6 linked regions of the Rattus norvegicus genome follow. The protein of the gene in region 3 interacts with the protein of the main gene of each other region in a pairwise test. Links are inferred from orthologs where the notes say so. Each region holds a gene or a part of one and is shown on either strand. Other genes may lie near its edges. The genes, in order: Mvk, Mapk1ip1l, Ewsr1, Fxr2, Khdrbs2 and Atpaf2.

What was found.
Region 1: the proteins of Ewsr1 (region 3) and Mvk interact in a two-hybrid assay, tested with the Homo sapiens proteins (2 studies listed by BioGRID and IntAct). The two-hybrid records come from large-scale screens. The link is inferred for Rattus norvegicus from reciprocal best matches to the Homo sapiens genes EWSR1 and MVK.
Region 2: the proteins of Ewsr1 (region 3) and Mapk1ip1l interact in binary tests that used the Homo sapiens proteins (3 or more experiments, as listed by UniProt). The link is inferred for Rattus norvegicus from reciprocal best matches to the Homo sapiens genes EWSR1 and MAPK1IP1L.
Region 4: the proteins of Ewsr1 (region 3) and Fxr2 interact in a two-hybrid assay, tested with the Homo sapiens proteins (2 studies listed by BioGRID and IntAct). The link is inferred for Rattus norvegicus from reciprocal best matches to the Homo sapiens genes EWSR1 and FXR2.
Region 5: the proteins of Ewsr1 (region 3) and Khdrbs2 interact in a two-hybrid assay, tested with the Homo sapiens proteins (2 studies listed by BioGRID and IntAct). The two-hybrid records come from large-scale screens. The link is inferred for Rattus norvegicus from reciprocal best matches to the Homo sapiens genes EWSR1 and KHDRBS2.
Region 6: the proteins of Ewsr1 (region 3) and Atpaf2 interact in binary tests that used the Homo sapiens proteins (3 or more experiments, as listed by UniProt). The two-hybrid records come from large-scale screens. The link is inferred for Rattus norvegicus from reciprocal best matches to the Homo sapiens genes EWSR1 and ATPAF2.

What each region holds. Positions count from the first base shown.
Region 1 is NC_086030.1:47,816,704-47,820,893, forward strand, and holds the start of Mvk (mevalonate kinase), read right to left. Parts: upstream 2,801-4,190; 5' UTR 2,706-2,800; intron 1,723-2,705; 5' UTR 1,709-1,722; coding exon 1,631-1,708; intron 720-1,630; coding exon 572-719; intron 1-571. Other genes in the region: corrinoid adenosyltransferase MMAB, read left to right, coding at 3,078-3,193. UniProt on the Homo sapiens protein: Catalyzes the phosphorylation of mevalonate to mevalonate 5-phosphate, a key step in isoprenoid and cholesterol biosynthesis.
Region 2 is NC_086033.1:23,023,515-23,027,567, reverse strand, and holds the start of Mapk1ip1l (MAPK-interacting and spindle-stabilizing protein-like), read right to left. Parts: upstream 2,801-4,053; 5' UTR 2,667-2,800; intron 1,123-2,666; exon of another isoform or gene 1,024-1,122; intron 1-1,023.
Region 3 is NC_086032.1:84,184,096-84,187,595, forward strand, and holds part of Ewsr1 (RNA-binding protein EWS), read right to left. Parts: intron 3,235-3,500; coding exon 3,202-3,234; intron 2,818-3,201; coding exon 2,699-2,817; intron 1-2,698. UniProt on the Homo sapiens protein: Binds to ssRNA containing the consensus sequence 5'-AGGUAA-3'. Might normally function as a transcriptional repressor. EWS-fusion-proteins (EFPS) may play a role in the tumorigenic process.
Region 4 is NC_086028.1:54,859,669-54,863,168, forward strand, and holds part of Fxr2 (RNA-binding protein FXR2), read left to right. Parts: intron 1-1,000; coding exon 1,001-1,117; intron 1,118-3,500. UniProt on the Homo sapiens protein: mRNA-binding protein that acts as a regulator of mRNAs translation and/or stability, and which is required for adult hippocampal neurogenesis. Specifically binds to AU-rich elements (AREs) in the 3'-UTR of target mRNAs.
Region 5 is NC_086027.1:41,941,838-41,945,869, reverse strand, and holds the start of Khdrbs2 (KH domain-containing, RNA-binding, signal transduction-associated protein 2), read right to left. Parts: upstream 2,801-4,032; 5' UTR 2,650-2,800; coding exon 2,559-2,649; intron 1-2,558. UniProt on the Homo sapiens protein: RNA-binding protein that plays a role in the regulation of alternative splicing and influences mRNA splice site selection and exon inclusion. Binds both poly(A) and poly(U) homopolymers. Phosphorylation by PTK6 inhibits its RNA-binding ability.
Region 6 is NC_086028.1:45,717,708-45,721,995, reverse strand, and holds the start of Atpaf2 (ATP synthase mitochondrial F1 complex assembly factor 2), read left to right. Parts: upstream 1-1,488; 5' UTR 1,489-1,622; coding exon 1,623-1,782; intron 1,783-4,288. Other genes in the region: Gid4 (glucose-induced degradation protein 4 homolog), read right to left, coding at 672-860. UniProt on the Homo sapiens protein: Plays a role in the assembly of the F1 component of the mitochondrial ATP synthase (ATPase).

The sequences.
Region 1 (4,190 bases), on a different chromosome or scaffold from region 3:
TAGGAAGACCCACTCTGGGTGTGTATAGCACCATCCCCGGAGTTCTAGACTGAATAACGGGGAGGAGTAGAGCCATTCTTCTCTCTCTGCTTCCTGACTACAGAGGGAATGTGACCAGGTACCTTACACTCCTGCCAGGAGCCCAATGGACTATGTGGCTCAAACCGAGAGCCACAATACATACTCAAGTTGCCTTTGTCATAGCAACAAGAAGGGTAACTAACTCAACAGCTTAACATTTTTACTCTACGGTGAGCCTGGAAGATCCACACACAGCAGTCCACAGAGATCCAGGGCACAGTTCTACATGTTTAAAACAAACTAGCTAGGTGTGGTGGAGCATGCACTTGAGAGAAAGAGGCAGGCAGATCTCTGTGAGGTCTGGTATCACAAACAAACAAAATTAAGTCCTGTACGAAGTGAATGAAGCCAATTTTCTGGGGTCGGAGGACAACATCGTTTTCTGGCTCCCCACAAGCAGCCTGAAGTAACCACTCTGTCTGTCACCCCTTCCCCACTTCCTTCAGGGGCCAGGCTCTTGTCATACCAGGCTCCCCCTCTTTGTACTAACCAAGAAAGCCTGTGTCCAGCAGCTGAAGTGTGGCCACATCCCAGACCTGCTTAATACCGACGTTTGGTAAATTGAGGCTCACTTTCCCATTGCTCTGCGGTCGCAGCACGAGAAATGTTCTCAAGTTCAAGGCCACCGCCAGAGCTACCTGCAAAATGAAGGGCAAAACTGGTAAGCCTGAAGGTGAGGGGCTCACGGGCCAGCGGCCATACGTTCTGGAAGTAAAGATGGGAGGATCCTGGGGGGGTTGCTGGCCGCCTACCCTCCCCCATCCCAACAAACTCATGTAAGATTATGAGAAGGGCTGGCTCAAAATCCGAGGTAAACAGTGCCTCCTGAGGAATGATACCTCAGGTTGTCTCTTAGCCTAGACAGGCAGACAGACCTCAGGTTGTCTCTTAGCCTAGACAGACAGACAGACAGACAGACAGACACACAGACACAGACACAGACACACACACACACCCGCACGCACGCACACACACAAGACCGTAAAGGATGAGGGTTGGAGAGGGTGTAATGTGCTTGGTCAAGTTACCAACTCTCTCCTAAGCCTCAGCTTTATCTACAAAATAGAAGACTACACATCCGACCTGGGTTAGGGCCGAGGTTTAAATGAGATAATACAAGTATGCAACACTTCTACCACACCATCTTTCCAATTCCTCAACACTGCAATGTTCCCAGAGTCCAGTTCTCTAAGCTCTTCCCCCTCCACCAACACTCACTTCCTGGGTGATTCCACCCAACCTGTAGGTTTTTTTTTTCCCGGAGCTGGGGACCGAACCCAGGGCCTTGCGCTTGCTAGGCAAGCGCTCTACCACTGAGCTAAATCCCCAACCCCCTGTTTTTGTTTTTTAATGATTTATTTATTTATCTTATGTATGTGAGTACACTGTCACTGTCTTCAGACACACCACAAGAGGGCATCAGATCCCATTACAGATGATTGTGAGCCACCACGTGGTTGCTGGGACTTGAACTCAGGACCTCTGGAAGAGCAGTCGGTGCTCTTAACCACTGAGCTGTCTCTCCAGCCCATCTCTGGGGAGTTTTTACCTTGCCATGGACCACAGCATGTTCTCCATGGAGAATGACTTTCCCTGGAGCAGACACCAGCAGGACTTCTGACAACATGGCTCCTGAGACTCCTGAAAGAAAAAGCAGCAGAGAGGAAAAACAAAGTTTCCTAGATGTTAGCTACAAACACCAGGAAGGTCCACACCTTTAATCCCAGCACTCAAGAGGCAGAGGCAGGTGGATCTCTTTGGGGGTTGGAGGCCAGCCTAGTCTACAGTGTGAGTTACAGGACAGCCAGCGCCATATAGAGAAACTCTGTCTCTTCGTGGAACTACCATCCAGAACTATGTACCAGGATGACAGGGCAGTGAGCCAGTCAGCTGGACAATGGAAAAAAATCTGGATTCAGACACTGGCCCTTCCGTCCCCAGCATGTCTTAGGAAAACTGCCATGAATCTGTTTCCCACAAATCAGCTAATAGAGACAACACTGAAGACTGATTCAAAGGACCAGAAGCAGCAGGACCTGTCAGTCTGGCAAAGTAGCATCTATACCACAGAGAGCTACAAGGTAATGACGGGACTATCCCTGCTGCTGGTAGAAACTGACATGACCTCCGAGTGCACGGCTCAGTCGTGGAATGCTTGCCTAACATGAGGGCGGTTATGCGTTTGATGGTATGGAAACGCGAGGTTTACATAAAATCTTGCAAAAGAAAGAATTCTTCCAGGACATGAGGCCACAACCAACCTGTCACAGTTATACACAAGGCTGCGGGGCTTACCTGTTACACCTCGTGTTGCACATTTAAACAATAACTTGTGCAAGGCAGAGTCTCACCAAGTGCTTTTGCTGGATTTATGGGTGCACGCATTTTACATTGTTATAAATAACGCAAAGTCACCCGGTTCAAGGCTTCACTGGAACTCCCTTGCACTGGCCACCCCACTGCATACTCAGTAGCCACCGAGACCCCAGTCTACCGGGAACTGTCCGACCTGAGGTCGCCGACCGCTGGGATCGAGAAAACTAAGACAGAGGACCGCGGCGCCCGGCCCAGGGTGTCCGGGACCCAACCCTCACATCACCCAACCCGCAGTCCAGGCCTCTCACCTGCCCCGGCCAGCGCCCAGGTGAGCCGAAACTCCGGCAGTAGCTCCCGGTCTTCTCCATATCAAAGGGCAGAGCCCCAAGGAGGCAGGCGTGTCTTCCTCCGGCCAATCAGAGAGCTTGAGTCGAGGTTCCCTTTACGGATTGGGTCGAACATTGACCAATGGGAATTTCAAACAAACGGAGATTGCCCCGCCTCTTTCTAATCGTCATCCAATGGGAAACAAGTCCCGGGGGTTGCCCCGCCCTGGTGCGAGTGCCACAGGCCAATAGGAAACAGCCATTGAGAGGTGGCGCGGCCGGCTGCGGGGCGGAGTCCTCCGCGGGCCTGGACGGGTGCCTGGTTGGGTCAGCCCTGGACGCGTTACCGTACTCATGGCTGTGTGGACCTTTGGGGGCCGCCTCGGCCTGCGCGGGCGTCTCGGCGGGTGCAGGCTGCTGTGTCCCCGTTTCCAGAGCTTTGGCCCTCAGGGTGGGGAAGACGGGGACAGGTGAGTTTCAGGCTGGGAGAGTAACTCAACACGAGGTGTGAGGAGAATAGTTATTTTGTTTCCGTGGGCATGTCACACTGATGACGTGTTCTCTGTGGCCTGACGTCATCGGGGTCAGCATGGCGTCAGAGGTCAGGATTTCCTGCACAAGTTTTAAGGCAGTCCAGCAGGAGTCAGTCGGGGCAGGGGATGTCTTTGTGGGTTTTGTCCAGCCTCCCAGGCAGTTTATTTGGATTACAATTAAGATACCAGGAAGACATGGTAACACTTTGAAACTTGCATCAGGATTTACAGATTACCATGAGCTCATAATCAACATTTCCGCTCCAGTCCTCTGACTTTCCAACAACCTTGAGAATTCACATTTTACTTTTAAGCTATACATCTAAGCTGTGCACTGTTTGAAAATGGAAGACTCCTGAGGGCTCTGGAGCAAGAACTGGGGATGTGGCCTGGTGGTACACTGTTTGCCTAGCTTGCCTAAAGGCTAGGGTTCAGGCTCAGGCCTCAAAAAAAAAAAAGTTTTTAAGTGAAAACAGCATTTTTGAAATTCCATTTTGACAGTGCCTTGACACTCAACACCTTAGAAAATGCAAGTGGCCTGGTTTTCTTTCCCCAAGAAGCCCTAACTTTGTGGTAGAGGGTTGGGGTTAGGGTAGACGAGAAGCAAGAGTTTGGGGAGGCTAATGGTCCAGGTCAGGTTTACAGTAGAAGAGTTTTGGATGTGAATCCCAGCCCAGTCTCTTCCTGGAGATCTAGGAGGCTGAATCTTTGTGGGCTCCAGTTTCCTCAAAGGAGAAGCTGAAGAGCAGTTCGAGGAGCTAGTGACTTTAGTCCACTGTGGAGCGTGGGCTACGTGGAGTGATTGGATAGTCCTTTTAGCCAGTATTTGTGAAGCATCTTCATTGAGACATGCACTACAGCACCCACTGTAAGGGTAGAGACAGGGACAAGAAGCTGTCTAGAAGGGACAGCGGGGAAATGGCTGACAAGAGAT
Region 2 (4,053 bases), on a different chromosome or scaffold from region 3:
CATCCTCAAAGTTTAAGAAAGCTAAAAATCCATTGGGTTATTGATGATAATTGGCAAGCAATTCAGAGAAACTAAGGAAAATCAGGACTTTTGTGATTTTTGTATGGGTGAGTGTGATAGTGTTAATTCTGAGATTCACCAGCGAAAAACCAATCACACTATTTTGGGCCAAATTTGAAGGAAGCTTTATTAGGTATTAAATACTGACCAAGCGATGGGCTTTGGTCAGGAACACTTCCTAGAACTTCCAGCTCAGTGGCCTGGAGACACATGTTGTAGGGGTTTTTATGGACAAAACTCACTGGCACCATTCTTTCCCACAAGGCTTTATTATTTCCCAAGAACTACTCTTAGCATTCCAGGAAGTTACTGGGTCCTTGGATGGGTGGGGCTTAAAGGTTAATTTTGAGTACTACATTAGCATATATTATATTGAAAGCAGATTCTGATTAGAATTGTTAGCATTTAGTACTGGGTAATTTACCAGATTATATTCCATTTTATAACTGGGTACCTAAAAAAGTTTGGAATGTTTTTGAACACCTAAAGTTCACAGTAGAAGCTCTTATAATTTATTCCGACTCACTGGAACACAAGTTCCAATCCTGCTGGGCTTTAGAGTAATTGGTGGCATGGCATGGGCATTCTTGAGAAGTGGTGTCTCTGTAGATTGGAATAAAAGTAAGAGTAGAAGGTTAAAGACAGGCTCCAGGGTAAGATCAGTTTGTATAAAACCAGAGAGAACAGTCTGTGGAAAAGCAGAAGCAGTTCGGGTTGGCTGGAATACCAGAAAGCAGTAAGAAGTTTTAGCAGAGGGCTTTGGACAAGAGTCCTAATACTTTAGCTCACTTGACCGAGTCAACTTCAGTTTCTTCATAAAGTTAGAGTAGGCGGTGATTCGTGGAACCACACAGGGCTGCATCTGACCCAACTAAAACTGGAAGACGGAATGAGCAACAAATACCCAATTCTCTCCTCTTGTGATTTTTAACATTTTAAAAAGGTATACATGGGTTTGCTCACCTCCATGCAGGTTCCCAAGAAGGCTAGAGGCGCTGAATTCCCTGGAGTTAGGAAGCTGTGAGCTGCCTCATGTGAATGCTGGGACAGAACTCCAGTCCTCTGCAAGGACAGCGATGGCTTTCAACCTGAGCCATCTCTCTCCAGCTCCTCTTTCTCACTCATACACATAGAACAAAAAGACTACCAGAGTAGACTGCCTGTCTGGCCTACCGTCAAATCCAGGTCTCTGAGTCTTATACGTAAGAGTAAATGGGTATTTTTCCACAGATTTGCTGAGCCTTATAGAAATCTATAAATAAATCTTTTAAGTCACTGCCTGACACTGAGCAAAAAACTCAACAAAGATTAGCTTTTAAAACCGATACAACATGGCCCCAAACCTTTGTCTATTTTCAAAGCAGAAAACTTTAAAAAATATACAATCTCCTAAGTATTTATTTGGTGGCAAAAGCTGACCAGACATTATTTATCCATTTCGTTTTCCACTCACCCCCAGCTGTAGTCTGAATATTTACGATATTTGCATTTTTTCATCCCCTAAAGTTTTGGGAATTTAGGACCTTGTAGCAAGCCAGGCTGGCGCTTTATCACCTAACTCCAGGCCCACCCTGTACAAATACTAATAACTGATTAACAGTCCCCGAGTCTATGGCTGTTACTGCCCCTCTATACTAACAATCACAGAATCTGAACACTGCTGAATTCCTAAGCTTACTGGCCCCAAAGGCTCAACCTCTCAGTTAGGAGAAAGAAGCTGGGCACCGATTCCTTCTGTAATCAAAAAAGGAACATTCTAACTTCTGCAACTGCATTAAAAAGTTTTTGAAGCAAATTGTTTTAGAGAATGGCTCCTATACTCCACGAATGAGAAAACTGCCCTCCTCCCCACCCAAGGAGACCCACTAACAAAGACTTCTGAAGGCGACTCGGTAATGAGGGTTTGGCTTCAGAACAGGCCTTTAACACATGGGGGATGGAGGGGCCCAACACGTGTGTATTTCTGTGAAGTAGGCTGTAACATATCTACGGTGGGGCCTGGTTTTGATACTTCAACTTCAGGATTAGTGAAGACATTACTTTCGGTTTTCAAGGCAGGGAGGGAAAAAAAAAAATGGTTCAAGCGTTCTAGCTGAGCCCAGATCCTTCAAAAGGAAAACGTCACTCAGCCCATGGCATCTTCTGTCCCGGGTAGTCATTTAACGAATGGGTAATTACGAACAGCAAGAATCCTGTCACACAGAATTATCAGGCGCCAGACCTCCCCGTAAGGGTCTCCCCTCCACTGCCGTTTTTTATTAGAAATTAGTGACTAGGATATTGGTGGAAGGGGTGCCAAACAAGCTGCCCTTTAGGGTTAAGGGAACAAAGGGAATCCGGGATCAACCGGAGCGAACCAGCCCCAGGCCGGTCACGCCGGCGGGATGTGGGGGAGGGTCGCCCGCTCCCGCCCTACCCCCCAAGTCTGGCATGATGTGGGCGCCCCGGAACCCGACAGGAGCGACATTAGACCTCTAGGTCGCCTGGTCCCCGGTGGATCCTCCCCATCGAAAGCTCTAGAGCCTCCAGGCCCCCGGGGACCCCGCGTCTTCGCATCATCTCCCCCCAAGCCTCGCGCCCCACCGCAAGCGCCCGAGCGGACTCACCCGGCAGGATCCGAGTCCTAGGCGCGGCACAGTGGCGACGGTGAATCCAGAGAGACGGGCAATGGAGAACCGCAGGAGGCCTGATGGACCGAGGCGGCACCGACACGGCTCCTCCCGGCACCGGAAAAGGAAGCAGGGAGGCTGGCCCCGCCGCCCGTTATTTCCGCCCGCCCCGCCCAGCTGCACTGCGCCTCCAGCGGGCTGCCCATGGGACTGCAGGCAGGGCCGCGTGGCTGCTGGGGCCTGGACTGTTTCCTCCGTGTGGAGCGCGGGAATGGGACAAGCCCTAGGCTGGTGATGCTCGCCGCATCCCAGGGGCTGCGAGCGCATTTTGGATTCCCTATGTTCAGCGGTTTTTGCAGACAGGCTCCAAGCTGACTGTCAGTAGTCCAGCTAAAATCGAGGGTAAAGAGATGAGGGAAAAGGGAAGTCTTTCTAAAGGTCTTGAGAATGAAAACCTTTGAAGAAGCTGTCTGCAGAAACCGAGTGGCCAATTAGAATTTCAGTACTGTGGAGAGATTGGAATGTTGCAGGTGCAGAGGTCGATTACCTTTTCTTGGGCTAGTGCTAGCCCTCCAGAACAGTCAACTGCGCGTCAAAACGAACATCTTGTGGCAAAAGGATTAAAAACTTTTAGAATCTATTAACAGGCAACTAGCTTCTGATAATCCAAAAGCCAAGAATGTCATCGGATAGTGTCTTAGATCTACAGAAAAGCTACCTCTATCTTGATGTATCTATCCTCCAATGTACCCGCCAGTGTGTTTTAAACTGCTTGGTTTATGGCATTCTCTGTTCTGTAAAGCTAAAAACGTCCTGATACTGGTTTCAGGTTGGGACATAGAATTTGAGGTAACTCAAATGTGTGTTCTGGGGTCATCCTCATTCAAAATGGCTCCAGAATAAGCTATCTCTTATTCCCCTTTAAGTTTTAAATTGAAAACAGTGGTTCTTAACCTGTAGGTCATGAACCCTTTGGGAGTCGACTCTTTCACAGGGGTTGAATATCAGATATTTATATTATTCAAAACAGTAGCAAAAAGTTATGGAGTGGCCATGAACTAATTTTTATGGTTGGGGGTCACCACAACATGAGGAACAGTATTAAAGGGTCACAGCATTACCAATGCTTTAAGATGAGGGTTGTTGGTTTTTGCGACTGGCTTCTGTTTCTGGGAGACTCAAAACTGACATACTGAAAAGCAAAGTCTGAGCATATACATAAACTTTCTAGTTTTTTCCTTCCTAGACTTTTGATTTGATATTTCGATGTATGTCAGTGTAGAACTAGAGTTTCATAAAGATTACTCATTGTCAGAGCCCGAATATGCAGAACTAGAGTTTCATAAAGGTTGCTCATTGTCAGAGTCCGGATGTGCAGGGCCGG
Region 3 (3,500 bases):
CCAGCCCCATATGAACGAGGACCTGCATTTTAAAATCTCTACTTTTTGTGAATGAGCATTCTAACAACATGTGTCTATATACCGCTTATGTGCTGGATCTCTTGGAACTGAATCCAGGTCCTCTGAAAAGCAACCAATACCCTTAACCCCTATGCAACCTCTCTGTCCACAAGGAAGCAAACAGACGTGATGGCAAACTCCTGACTTGGCCAGAGCACACCCCAATTGATAGTACAACTCTATGTGCACGAACGCATGAGTCTGCCTCTCTTCCTAAACAACACACACACACACACACAGTGGCTGGGTGATTTGGGACACATTTTTAATCGTAGCACTCAGACGTTAGAGGAAAGGAGAATCTTGAGTTTCAAGAGAGATGGCTCAGCAGTTAAGAGCACTGGCTACTTTTCCAGAGGACCCAAGTTCAATTCCCAGCAACCACATGAAGGCTCATAACCATCTGTAATTGGATCTGATGCCCACTTCTGGCATGCAGGCAGAACATTATACAGACTAAATAAATCTTAAATCCCCCAAAACACCCCCCACCCCTATAACTAAACAAACCAAAACTAGCTAGACATGGTCGCTCAAGCACATAACCCCAGCACTTGGGATGTAGGAGTAGGAAGAGTAAGTTTAGTTCAAGGCCACCGTGGGAAGTAAGTTTAAGGTCCAAGCAGATTACACACAAAGAGGCTAACAAGGGGGCCCAGCAGGTAAAGGCACAGGCTGAAAGTCTGCAACCTGAGTTGGATCTCCAGCAGAGTAGAACTAACTGTTCTGCAAGTTGTCCCTTGACATCTTTTCTTTTTTTTAAAAAGAATTAATGTATGTGAGTACTCTGGAGCTGTCTTCAGACACACCAGAAGAGGGCATCGGATCCTATTACAGATGGCTGTGAGCCACCAGGTAGTTGCTGGGAATTGGAACTTAGGACCTTTGGAAGAGCAGTCAGTGCTCTTAACCACTGAGCCATCCCTCCAGTCCAAGATACACTTTTTCTAAATTAATAACTGAACAAAAATAATCACCCTCCCTCCTCCCCGATTTCCCTGTGTGGCCCTAGTTTGTCCTGGAACATGCTTATAGACTAGGCTGTCCTAAACTTAAGAGATCTACTTGCCTCTGTCTCCTTAGGCATGCACATCACACCCAGCCAATAATCAACATCTTAAATATAAAATACAAACGTAGGAATTTGGGGACCACTTTTCCCCAGAGTGGGTAAGGCAACAGAAAATCATTAACAGTACATGTTAAATGTGTGTGCATGCACAAAGAGCCAGAGAAAAAATCTTACAGAACCCATGGGCATTCTAGCACAGGATCTATGTTCAGTCTGCAGTACTGAGGTCAGACTTTTCAACTGCCTATAGCGCCAGTTTCATGACATCTGACACCCTCTTCTGGCCTCCTTGGGTGCCCACACCCATGTGGTACGGACATAAACTTAAGAGACACATAAACAGAAAGTATAATTTTAAAAGCCAACTGAACACCTTTAAGGCTTTAATATCAGAAAACATTATTTATTCTCAAACTGCATTATAAATTGTTAACCTGTATAGAGGACTGGTCACACCTGCCTCTACATCAATGCATGGATCCCACACCAGGGAAGACCAGACTCTCACAAGTTCCCTCTGACCTCCAGAGCTACTCTGTGCATCACACGCACAGGCCTGCCCACAAAACATGGGAGTTTTAAGATAACTGTAAAGAGAAAAAAGCAGAAGAACCAGACTTCCTGGGAATGAAGACTCAGGTAAACCTTTCAACAAAATGTCACAACAGGCCTGTAAACAGGGAAAAGAAAAACAAGCTAGCAAACAATAGGTGTGTCATCAAACCAAGGAGCAGGTGACCTCTGTAAGCTCCAGGCCAGCTAGAGCTACAGGATGAGGCCCTTTCTCAAAGGAAACTCCTAAAGCTCTGCTTCTCTGCCTTTTTATTCCCTCCCTCCCTCCCTCCCTCCCTCCCTCCCTCAGTGTTGGCATCAAAGGCACACACTAACCCCTCTGGCAAACCTTAGCCCTTATGCTAGGAAATCAATCTATAAAGATGTAAATGTCCCTCTTCTCTACATCACACAACGTGTTTTAGTGTTTTTTGTAATTATTTAAATTAAGTGATAATTTGGGGAAAAAAAGTCTCCAAGATATTAAGCATTCAGGGAATATTAAGAAAAATCACCTTTCCTCTTCATAACAGAAAAAGACAAGTTTATTTCTGAGAGAACAGCAGACTCAGTAACAGAATCACCAGCTGCCTAGCATTCTTCATCTACAAACATCTGGCTAAAGCTGGGTATGGTACACAAGACTGTAAACTGAGCATTTTGGGGTGGGGGATCGGGTAATCCTTTGCTACATGGCCAGATCGCATGAGATCTTGTTTTAAAAAAAAAAAAAAAAAAAAAAAAAAAAAAAAAAAAAAAACAGTAACAACCCAGATAACAAGGGGGCGGGTATTTATCTTGTAGTTCAACGCTCTTATCGAATGCATACCAGGCAGGTGCTCCACCACTAGCTCCTCCCAGCCCTCACACAGGGCTTGAATTAAAGAGTGTTTTAAGGAGTGAACGCAAGATGTCAACGAAACAGTCAAGGAACAATTCTCAGCACAGTCCAAGCATCTCAAATATGTTCCGTGGACCCAATTTCTGTTAGATCACCCAATCACTATCACTCACCTTGACAACCCCACACTGCTTAAAGAAGTCTGCCAGATCATCCAGAGTCACACTGTCATTTAATCCTTGCACATAAACTGCACTGTTGTCAGAGTCTTCATCGGGATCTATAGGAAGGCCTTCCAGAGAAAATGAGATAAAACACAATTACTGCTCTGAATTAACAGTGGCTTCTTTTTTTGGAGCTAGGCTGGCCTCAAACTTCTAATTATTTTTCAACCCCAGACACAGCCCATCAGGCCCAGATAATAATAAAGGCTTCTGGTCCAATCGGCCATTATTATCAAACAGTATTCATCACAATGGCAAGAGAATGAGCCGCACACTATACTGATAATAAGACGAAGTTTTTTGATTACTTTAAAACAATTTAAAGGAAGTCCCAAACTCCCCCCACCCCCAATGGGTCAGTGTACTGGTATCAGTCTGCTGAGCTGCTGGACTCTTGCTTCTATGGCATTCATTCAAAACAGCTCAGTTAAAGTTCAAGAACTTAAAGTTACCTAGATCGAGATCTGGTCCTTCATCCATGGGTCCTGCCAACCAGGAAAGATCATATAAAATATTGTTAGTGCAAGCCTTGCAAGCTACAAACCTTACAAACACACACAGCTATCTACTACACCACCATTTGATGGGGACTCATTAATTCAAAATGACCCGCACTGCTAAAATGGAGCAGTGGCCCTTTAGCGTTTGTGAGTTTGCTAGGGTTTTTTTTCCCTTTGCTCGTTTGTTTCTAAACCATTAACCAAATACACTCTCAATGCTTCATGTGCCGAATTAGTGTTAAATTAAATTC
Region 4 (3,500 bases), on a different chromosome or scaffold from region 3:
TGTCAGTATTTAGCTATTCAGTTTCTATGTGACTAACAATGGTTTTCACGTAGCCTACCTCATTTCTTTTATGTTTCCTTTTTTTTTTCTTCTTCTTCTTCTTTTTTCCCTTTTCTTTTTTTTCGGAGCTGGGGACCGAACCCAAGGCCTTGTGCTTGCTAGGCAAGCGCTCTACCACTGAGCTAAATCCCCAACCCCTTATGTTTCCTTTGAGACAAGTTTACTCTTCTTGTTTACTCTTGGCTGGCCTGTTACTCACTAAAGCTGCCCTTGAGTTTGTGACACTTTTCCTGCTTTACCTTCCCTAGTTTTGAGGTAGGCATGACCACCTTTTTTTCCCCTTTTTTCTATTTTTCCTTTTAAGAATATATACATCATTTTCTGTAGGTCAGAAGAGGTCACCAGATGTCATAGGTTGAACTCAGGACCTCTGGAAGAGCAGTCAGTGCTCTTAACCACTGAGCCATCCCTTCAGCCCATGCTACCACCTTATTTTAAACTTCATTTCTTGCCAGGTGGTGATGGTGTACGCCTTTAATCCCAACACTCAGGAAGCAGGCAGAGGCAGGCGGATCTCTGTGAGTTCAAGGCCAGCCTGGTCTACAGAGAGTTCCAGGACAGCCACGGCTACACAGGGAAAACCCTGTCTTGAAAAACAAACAAAAATCCAACTTCATTTCTTGACACCTGCCCTTTTTCAGGGACTCTGACATTCTGATGCCAAGTCCCTAATGCTTCCCTGGTGTGTATTTTGCTTTTTTTTTTTTTTTTTTTTTATTTTATGTGTGTTGCTGGTTTGCCTAGATGTGTGTCTGCGTGAGGGTGTCCGATCTCTTGGAATTGAAGTTACAGACAAGTGAACTGCCATGTAGGTGCTTAGAATTGCACCTAGCTCCTCTGCCAAAGCAGTCAGTTCTCTTAACCTCTAAGCCACTTGTCTTAGGGTTCCGTCTCTGAGCCATGTATTTTGCTTTTATACATCCTGTTCATCATTCCTCAGTCAACCACAGAAGCCCCTGTGAAGAGGGCATCTTTGCTGGGTGACATGCATTTCCGAAGCCTTCGTACCAAATTGCTGCTCATGTCCCGCAATGAAGAAGCTACTAAGCACCTAGAGGTAAGTTTTGGCTGCTGTTTCTCATAATAATAATAATAAAATGTTCTTTCCTTTTTCTTTTCCTTTTGTTTTTGAAACACATACACAAAAGCTGCTAGGCCATTAATCCTATTTTATCTCATAATTTTCAGAGGACAGTATTCTATCATGGTTTTGGTATGGTTTTAAAAAGTTTGATTTTGTTTCTGTTGTAGGTTTTTGTTTTTGAGAGATTCTCTGTATAGCCCTGACTGTCCTAGAACTCAAAAGAAATCCACATGTCTCTGACCCTGGAGTGCTGAGATTAATGGCATGTACTACCACTGCCCAGCAATGTTGCTTTGTAACAGGGTCTCACTGGTCTCCTGGCCTAGAATTCTTAGTGTTTTACTGCTGAGAACAGACACCATGACCAAAACAACTCATACAAGGACAAAATTTAACTGGGGCTGGCTTCCAGGTTTAGAGGTTCAGTCCATTATCATCAAGGCTGGAACATGGCAGTGTCCAGGCAGACATGGTGCAGGGGGAGCTGAGAGTTCATCTTCATCTGAAGGCTGCTAGTGGAGGGAAGACTGGCTTTCAGGCAGCTAGGAAGAAGCCCACGACATACCCCACTCCAAGCAAGACTACACTTCTTTTTTTTTTTGGTTCTTTTTTTCGGAGCTGGGGACCGAACCCAGGGCCTTGCGCTTCCTAGGTAAGCGCTCTACCACTGAGCTAAATCCCCAGCCCCAAGACTACACTTCTAAAAAATTTTTTTTTTTCCCTAGAGCTGGGGACCAAACCCAGGGCCTTGTGCTTGCTAAGCAAGTGCTCTACCACGCTAAATCCCCAACCCCAAGGCTACACTCCTAATAGGGTGGCCACTCCCTGCCAGAGCATATACAAACTGTCACATTTCCACTCCCTGGCCCCATAGGCTTGTTCAAACACATGAGTCTTTGGGGGTCATACCTACACATAGCATAATAAAAGATACATTTAGGGGGTTGGGGATTTAGCTCAGTGGTAGAGCGCTTGCCTAGCAAGCGCAAGGCCCTGAGTTCAGTCCCCACCTCCGAAAAAAAAAATACATTTAGTCCAACTTCCAAAGTCCCCATAGTCTATAGCAGTCTCAACAGTGTTAAAAGTCCAAAGTTCAAGGTCTCTTCTGAGATTTATCCACTCACTTAACCTTAATCCCCAAAGAAAGACTGGAAATGAGCCAGGCAAACTCCAAACCCTGCATCTCCATGTCTGATCTCAATGTGGTCTTCAGATCTCCAACTCCTTTTCATCTTTGTTGACTGCAACAAACTTCTTTCTCCTGGGCTGGTTCCATTCCCTGTTAGCAGCTTTCCTCAGCAGATAGCCCATGGCTCTGGCTCTCTAACGCCCCATCCATTACCAAGTACAGCTTTGAGGTACAACCTTGGCTATCTCTAGAATATAGCTTCTTTGTGCTCTCAGAAAACACTCCCCAGAAGATTTCACCTCAGTGATGCTGGTCTCCTTCCTATCTATCTATCTATCTATCTATCTATCTATCTATCTATCTCTATCTATCCATTCATTCACTCACTCACTCACTCATTCATTCAAAGTACACTGTAGCTAGGTAGCTTGCTTGCTTCTTTCTTTCTCTTTCTTTCAAGTACACTGTAGCTGTCTTCAGACACGCCAGAAGAGGGCATCAGATCCCATTACAGATGGTTGTGAGCCACCATGTGGCTGCTGGGAATTGAACTCAGGACCTCTGGAAGAATAGCTAATGCTCTTTTTTTTTTTTTTTTTTTTTTGGAGCTGGGGACCGAACCCAGGGCCTTGCGCTTCCAAGGTAAGCGCTCTACCACTGAGCTAAATCCCCAGCCCACTAATGCTCTTAACCATTGAGCCATCTCTCCGGCCTAGTGCTGGTCTCTTCTTAGTCACCTCTAATTTCTTAGTTCTAGCTAACCAGCATCAATTTCCCAGTAGTTTCCTCTTGACTACAAAGCCAGATACATATGACTGAAGTTGCCAAAGTTCTGCTGCTTGCTGGGGCTGAAACATGGCCCCCTTGTTCTGTTACATCATCACCATCACCAGCTTTTGGTTTTCTAACTTCTTTTTTTTTTTTTTTTTTTTAAGATTTATTTATTATATATATAAGTACACTGTAGCTGTCTTCAGACACACCAGTAGAGGGCATCTGATCCCATTACAGATGGTTGTGAGCCACCATGTGGTTGCAGGGATTTGAATTCAGGACCTCTGGAAGAGTAGTCAGTGCTCTTAACCACTGAGCCATCTCTCCAGCCCAGGAACTTGCTCTGTAGATTGATCTTGAACTCAGATCTCCTGGGATTAAAGGCGTGTACCACCATGCCTGAACCTAAACTTAGCTGGGGTGGGATCTTGTCCCAAGGTCACCCACTCCCTT
Region 5 (4,032 bases), on a different chromosome or scaffold from region 3:
CAGATTCAGAAACGTCTTCCGTAACAAACGGCTAACTACATAAAACTGTAACTACAGTATGGAAGTTATTTTAATCAAATGCATTATGCAAAACCTTTAACCCATATTATTCAAGATCTGCCATGACTAACAGTCAAAATCACAAATTATTTGTTTTTAATTTTTTTAAATATGACCCCTACTGAAAACACAAACCAGAAACAAATGGACTGAAATACAATAAAAACAACCAAAAGAGGTCATTTGCAGCCCACAGCCTTGCACACTAAATGAAGCAGGCACAAGTGAGGAGAGGTTTGTGTCTGTCACTAAGGAGAAGGCAAAGTAAGGCACTGTGAGAGCTCAGTGCTTCTAGAAACTCATCCCAAAGAATGGAATCATCTGGATCATTTTTATTGCCCACCTCAGTCTCAAGACTGTCTGCACAGCACTGCTGACGTGCACTCCAGTGTGCACCTTCCTTCCCTTGGAGTATGTGTGTCAAGTTTATTTATAGACAATGCCTTCGAATGCAACGTTTCCAGGTATGAGAAATAAAATCTCTACGGTGATCCTAGAAACCTTCACAAATAGCCTTTGAGAAGACAATGGAAAAAAATCTATAATGCAACACGTGCATTATGATTCGCTGAGACTCCAAAGCACACTCACCTTTCACTCTAGTGAGCATGTGTAAAGAGGCGGGTAGAGTTACAGAACTGATGTGGGCCCTGGACGTCTTTTTATGGAACTATCTGACTACTCTAGGATTACCGCCGCCACCTCTTTCCTCCTCTTGTTCTCTTTTCTCATTAGGAATTCTCTGAAATTTAGGCACCCTCTTTGTTTCTTAGTGAGATGCTTTTCTAGCCAGGAGCTTTTTTAAAATAACCCATTACAAAAGCAGGCCATGCTTCCCCCTGCTGGGAAAAAATTAAATTACAAGGTGCATTAGAACAATTTTCCTAAGTCTCAAGCAACCTTGTGTTTGGGAAAGAAAGAAACAGCAGGAAAGCAGATACTTAGTGGTCTCTTAACTGTTTCACTGGTCAAGAATATGCACCACACCTCACTCTAGTAAGGCTTTTATCTACATCTTTTAGTTCTGTAAGTTTTAAAAGTACAATTAATACACATTAATAACCGATGGGCCAATTATTGAACCCTCTGTCCCAAAGAGAGCTCCGGTTATCAGGTCAGAGAAGATTATGAATCTGTTTTCATTGCTCATTGAATGGAAACACTTCTGAAGAACGGAGTGAAGCAAACAATCAAAGAATACAGTTTTAATCTGTCCATGTTTATTGAGTCAATATCTTCCGATATGCAGCCGTTGTTCTCCAACGGCAGAGAAGAGCGTCGTTCATGACTTTAGTTTTTCAGTTTCATTTATTATCATTTGATTATTAGGTTGTGGTATGCAGGGTTGCATTTCACTGCCTAACTACAAAGCCAGCTTCTCCCCGTGAAAACAGTGTGAGTATTTAGAATCTTCCACATTTTTCCTGGCAGTCTTTCACGAGATACTTTGTTATTACGGGTTATAATAAATAGCAACCGCTAAAAATGCCAAAGTAAATCTAATGTCTCTGAATCATCTGAGGAGTAAATTTTTTCCTAAGATGCACAACTAAATCTCAAATGTATTTTAATGCTGAGGAGCTGGAAGAGAGAAAGATGTCACTGATTCTTCTAGTGGGTAAGACCTCAAGATCCTAAGCTGCAGGGTAGCCAGTCTGAGGAGGAAGCACTTCATCACTAACGAAACGTTCATCCAAAAATTCAGCAGTCGTGTTAAATTGGAGAGTGCAGGGTACCAGGTACCAGAGATGACTTCACTTGCTACCATTGCTTCACATAGATGGAATAATTGGGGTTAATATTTCTGATGGAGAAGTTTTCATGTGCACCTTTTCTCAAACGACCTCTCAAAGCAATGCAAAAGGCAAGACATAGATGTTCCTCTGGGAAACGAATCTCCGCTACAACACAGGTACACAAAAGAAAACGCACACCTGGTTTAAAAACCAGTTGGTCAATTATGGAGCGTTCCGAGGAACCAATATCTTGCATACTACCCAGCCATCACGTTTCGAATACGTTTATAAGCACTTTAGCCTCTGCTTACCATGCTCACATAAATATACGAACATGCATACTTTACTGTTGATTAATTCTAAGACTTTCCAGGGGGAAATAGCAATTAAAGGGTATTAAAATCACTTCGAAACATAGAAGGAAAAAAATACAATAAATAAATAACGCTGATCTGTGACCAAGATGCTCTCAGAACACTCCACGGATCTCATTTACTCCTGTACTGCTTTTGCTGTCTTCTGCAAAGTGAAAAGGTACCGATGAGCCACCTGACACTTGCTGGTTTCCCTGTCCAGGACCCTAACAGGTCGCACCACCCTGCCATTAGACCTCAGGGCTAATTGAGCCTCGGAAGAGCCTGGCCAGCAGCGCTGCGCTCCAGCATTCGGAAGCAGCTCTCAGAGACAGTTTCTACCCAGCGGAGCGCTCGCCCTCCCCAACTTCGCCCTGTCGGGGCTGGCGGTCGCCGGGGCCGGTCCTACCTTCCGCCAGAAGGCGCGACGCGTGCACAAAAGATGGATCAAGGCTATCCTTCTCTGCCATCAGCTCAGGCAAGTATTTCTCTTCTCCCATAGCGCGGACTTCGGACCGTGGCCGGCCAGGCGCAAATCCCGCCTGCTCGGACGCCTCGGTCCCTGGTTCCCCCAGGAACCGTCCTTCCTGCGGTGAGCGCAGCTCTAGCGCCTCGGGCTGCGCAGACCGCGCTGGTACCTGCCTCTCCCGCGCCCCAGCCTGGCTCCGGCCGCGGCCTCAGCTGGAGAGGATGCCCGCGCGGCCCGCCCCCGCCAGCCTCCTATTGGAAGCGGGGTCCGGGGGCGGGGCGCCCGCGGAGGCGGTGGACTATCATTGGCCGGGGCCTCACGTCGAGTCGCCTGAGTGGCAGGAGGCTGCTGCGGAGGGGAGGGGTGTACGAAGTGCAGGAGCACTCTCCAGGCCGCCTTTGCGGTCCCGGTTCTCAGGCCTGGCCAGTGCTGTGGAGTAGGGGCTGACTGTTAGGCAGGCAGGATGGTGAGAGAGGGAGAAATTGCGCTCCAGGAACACAGAAGTGAGCACTTCACCAGGGTCCCCACAGCACAGGTGTCTCTCCCCTGGCGGATCGCAGGCTCATGGGCAGGGTTGGAAATCCGAGGCAAAATGTGGGCTGTGTTTCCCATGACCTACATCATGAGGCAGAAGGATGTCCACTGATGTACAAATGAAGAAGTGCCTGGATTCTATACTAGAGCAAAACGCTTCCAGTGTACATCACCGTAATACAGAATTAGTTCTAGGGATCCACCCATCCCTGTGGTGGAAAATTTGCTCACTGTGTAAACTTAGCGGGGAGGATTGTGAATGAAAGAAGCTAGATGGTGTCTAACTTCTGTCACTCTGATGTTCTCATATTTTAAACCTGATTGAGTCTCTTTCCCTGCCTTGGGAATGTTGCTAAAATATTTTATATCTCCCCTACCTTTATTCAAATGAGCATTTTGCCCCCAAGGATCACCAAGAAAGGAGGAAAAAATGTTTCCTCCCCTTACAGATGGGACCCCTGAATTGTACCTTAAATACTTCAAATGAAAGGAGTCTTTTCTCACTTTGAGGTTGTCTTTCCCCTAACATTCCCTTGTCAATTCTTCTACCTGTTCAACTGGGTAACTTTCCGGGTATATAAAACCTACTGGACGTTTCCTAACTTCTCTTATTCTATCCACAGTGTTCCTGTAATGGTTTATTTTAGATGAACTTGGGATATTATGTTGACTTTGTGTGACATTTTGAAAAGTTATCATGTTTCATATCCAGTAGATAACTCACTCCAGCTCCCAAAAACACTGAGCAACAAGGGCCCAGAGATAACCAGATTTTGCTTCTGTAGTTGATGTAACATACCTCATAGCTGTGCCTAAGCTGAGGAGAAAATTCAAATCTAACCAGGAGGAAGCTTCAGGAGGCAGGGTTTACCCTACCCTC
Region 6 (4,288 bases), on a different chromosome or scaffold from region 3:
TCAGGAGACAAGGTCTTAACACTAAGTGGTGCAACTGGAGATATCTGGGTGTGAGTACCTGGTCTTTGGGGAGCCTTAACCTTTGTGGGTTGTTTCGGCCAATGGAGGGAGGTTGCCCACCTCGCCCCGGTCGCCCCGAGAGCAGCGGGCTGACTGAGTTCTCCAAACTCAAAGGAGCAAGGTCCCTGGCACTTTGGATGGAGTTAGGGTCAGAGGAAAAGCTTCATTCTGGGAGAATGTGACACTGGCCGCTACTGAGTTTGGGGCAGCCAATGAAGAGTTTTTCAGGATCCGACAGGGATTGGTGGGAGGGCTGGCTGGTGTAGGGAGGACAGGACAGGACTTGGGAAGAACCGACCCAGGCTAAAGGACGGCTAGTCATGGGGGTGCTTCCGGATCCCAAGCGGGAGAGTCAAAGGCTCCAAGTGTGGGACAGTCTTCGGGGTCTGTCGGAGGCTGGCCGCTACAGGCTCTGAGTCTAGGGGTGGGTTAGGGGTAGGGTTCGAGAGTGTGACATCAGCTGGGCAGGTCCCGGTGGGAGGCGCCGGGTGCAGGAGGCCCCGGCAGTGAGGGCCTGGTCCGCGGCTGAGGGCTCGAGGAGCCCAGGGCAGGCCCGGCCCGTGAGCGCCGCGAGGAGGCCCTCGGGCCGGGCCTTGCCGCCTGGCGCTCACCTGCAGCACCACCTCTACGTCGTACGAGTTCCCCTTGCTCTTCTGGTGGCCACGGAACTTGGAGCCGCTGTAGAGCAAGCTGGTGGCCACGCCGGGCTGCTGGGTGTTGATGGGCGGCGGCGGGATGAGTGAAGCCGCGGATGTGGCTGAGGCACCCGCCGGCGGGGGACACTCGGTGCGGACCGGCATCGCGGGGTCCCCCGGAGCCAGGGCTGGGGGAGGGGGAAGGAACCGCCGCCGCCGCGCGGGAGCCGAAGCTGCGGGGAGGGCGGACCCGGGCGCGCACGCGCGGGGGAGGGGCTGGGGAACCACCCGCCCGCTGCCGGCTGACCGAGCGCTCGTGTCGCCACCTGGACCCCGAGACCTGCAAGCAGGGCCTCCCAGTCCTGAGCTGGGCTCCCCTTCCCACTTGCCCTCGCGGGCTCACACATACACACACACACACGCACACATGCACACACACACGCGCACACACTCACTCATACACACACGCGCGCACACACACATACACACACACACACACACACTCGCGCACACACTCACACACATACACACACACACACACACACACAAACACACACACACTCTACTGCTTCCAATTGGCGCGGACCCGCCGGAGAGGCGGGAGCAAGCTCACGCGGCGCTTCCGCCCATTGGCAGACAGAGAAAGCACGTGGTGCGGTGCGCGAATGGCCCTCTGGGACTTGTAGTTTTCTTCCCGTAGCGCGGCATGGAGGGGGCGGGGCGAGCACGCTTGTGATGCTGATTGACGGGGGCGGGGGCGGTACGCAGGGGGCGCGTGGCTGTGACGGCGTGCCGTAGGTGTCATGACGAAGATGGCGGCGTGCTGAGGAGGCTGAGGGCTTTGAACCCTTGGTGAGAGGTTTCCGTACGGAACCAGCGAGGCGTTTGGGGGACTCTCTTCGCTCTATTCCTGTACTGTTTTCACGTATGGGTCCACCCAAACCCTTGGGCATGATGTGGCGAATCTACCCCCGGCTGAGGGACCGGTGGCGCGGTCTCTTGGACCGGCCTCTCGGTGACCCCACCGTTTCATTGTGGCCGGGGCCAGCTCTGAGGCCTCCAGCCCGGGCCTACGTCCCGCCAACAGGTGAGGCCCGGACTTCTGTTACTTTTTGTTCAGGAGCCAAGTCGGGCTCACCTGGCGGAAGGTTTCCGACGTGCAGTGCGGGGTGACTGAGGCAGGGTTCAGGCCCATGAGAATATTCAGAGTAATAGAACTCTGTTTCAGTTTGAAAAATGACATCCAAACCAGTGCGGGAGTGACTTTAGGGGACACAGCGTTTCCAGGGTAGGAGATATTTGGCTGAGGCTTCTCTCAGTTTCCTTTCTTTTTCTTCGCCTTTTGCTTGTTTCATTTTTCAAGACAGGGTTTCTCAGTGTAGCCCTGGTTGCCCTGGAACTCACTCTATAGATCAGGCTGGCCTCGAACTCTGAGATCCTCCTACCTCTAGTTCCGGAGTACTGGAATTACAGGCGTGCACCTGGTTCAATTTTTTCCTTTTAAAGGGAAACAGGAGTTCGTTGATTTCAGAAAGGAAAATCTAGGCTTTCAATCAGGACTTCCAAGGTCACAGAGCAGACTGGTTGAAGTTGTGGAGGCAAAGATTAGCTTGACTGCTTTTTGTCTCCAGGACCCAGCCAACACAAGACTTGGCACAGAGCAGGCTGGCTTTAAGTCTAACACCCTCACACACTTCCTTAAGGGTTTGCAGGCCCTCTGTCCTAGTGCAGTGCCACGACCTCTGCATTCTCTGCAGCCTTCTCTATAGTGACGCTTTATACCAGGCTTCTTTGACCTACTAAGGACTGTAATCCTGAAAGAAGGTTATCTCATTGCTTCTGGAGTGAGATTTTACCAGTGAGGTTCACTTTGGTGAATGAAAAGTAATGATGGCCTCCCTCCCTTCGTTGGGTTACATGTTTTGTGTTGAGGGCACGTGGTCTCACCTGAATGGTACGCAACATCAGATGCAGGACTCATTATGCTCACTAAACAATAGTTTGCAATACACTGATGTGGGAAGTACGAAGGACTTGAGAGATCACAAGGATGAGTGTGTACAGGGTGATTGAAAGGGCATTCAAACTGGGGCTTGATAGATGAGTAAGAGGTTGCTGGGGGGGTTGGGGATTTAGCTCAGTGGTAGAGCACTTGCCTAGCAAGCGCAAGGCCCTGGGTTCGGTCCCCAGCTCCGAAAAAAAAGAAAAGGAAAAAAAAAAAAAAGAGTTTGCTGGGGGAGGAAAAGGGTGTAGCATGTCCAGAGGTGATGACTGGGTGTTAGAGATCTTGCTGCAACACTGCCCTCATTAGGCAACAATTCCATAGGCAGTTTGGCATTGGCAGAAGAGTACAAACCTTGGGTCTCTTGTTGGCTAAACTTCTGAGGTACTGTGGTCTTGGGCAGGTATGATGTTGTTTTCTTTGGTGATCTGAAGCATGAGATTGCTTTTAAGGATTCTTTAGGCTGTAAATTCCATAATTTTTTGTTTTACTTAGTATGTATATGTATATATGCCCTTGGCATGTGCATGGAGGTCAGAGGACAACTAGCAGGGGTTGGCTGTGGCTTTCAGGGATTGAACTGTGGATATTGGGTTTTGTGGTCAGTGTCTTTACATGGTGAGCCATTTCCATGGTCTATAACCCATAATCTTATATAAGTGGAAGAAGAGTGGATGCAGCAGGGAGCTGATTTTTACTTATCAGGACATAAACGAAGGCCTAAAAATGGGCTAGGAAGAAGCTTAGTGGTGTCACACACATGTATCAGCTGCTTGGGAGTCTGAGATAGGATCACTTGGGGTCATGGGGGAGGGGGAGGAGAACAGGGCTTGACTTCCACATATCTCATTGTGCCTCACTCATACATTCCTATTTTCTTTCACATTTGACTACCTACTATGTGCTAGATAACGCTAAGAGCCAACTGGTAAGTCTGTATACAAAAGAAAAGATGGCAGATCAAGCACTTCCATGTTGGAAAACAAAAAGTGTCTACTCGTTTAAATTAACCCTTTGCCTATTTAGTGACCTCCCGAATGTCTTTGTTTATGCCTTGCCTCCCTAGGATATGTTCTGCTCTCCAAGTCCTCACCAGGTGTGAGATGTTTCTGTGTATCTCTGAAGCATATAAATTATTAAGTCCTTCTTGATGAAGACTCTAGTTGTCAAGGTCTCTGAGGGACAGCCACACCATGGAAGGTTGTGTGGAGAGGAGGGACATTCGAAGGGCTCACTGCAGCATTACAGGAGGAGGTAGTGTGGTGCAGAGACCTTTGTGAGGCTGTGGCCACCCTCCTGTTTTCTGCCCAGAGGGAGATGTAGTTTGGAGAAGCAGCATTTGGGGCAAATTCCCAAAGAAATAAAAGCTTGAAGTCCTGTACAAATTGCCCCTCTGTCCAAGGCAGCTTCTCCAAGTTTCTGCCACTTTAGAGGCATTGCCTGCTTTGCCATCCTCATAGGCGTGTCAGGGACCAGACTTCTACCTGCTTTTGAAATAAAGTTTTATTGGAACACAGCCACATACTCATACATATTGTCTGATTTTGTTATATTGGCCAGAACAACCTAGAGTATTGACCTCTGCTCCAGA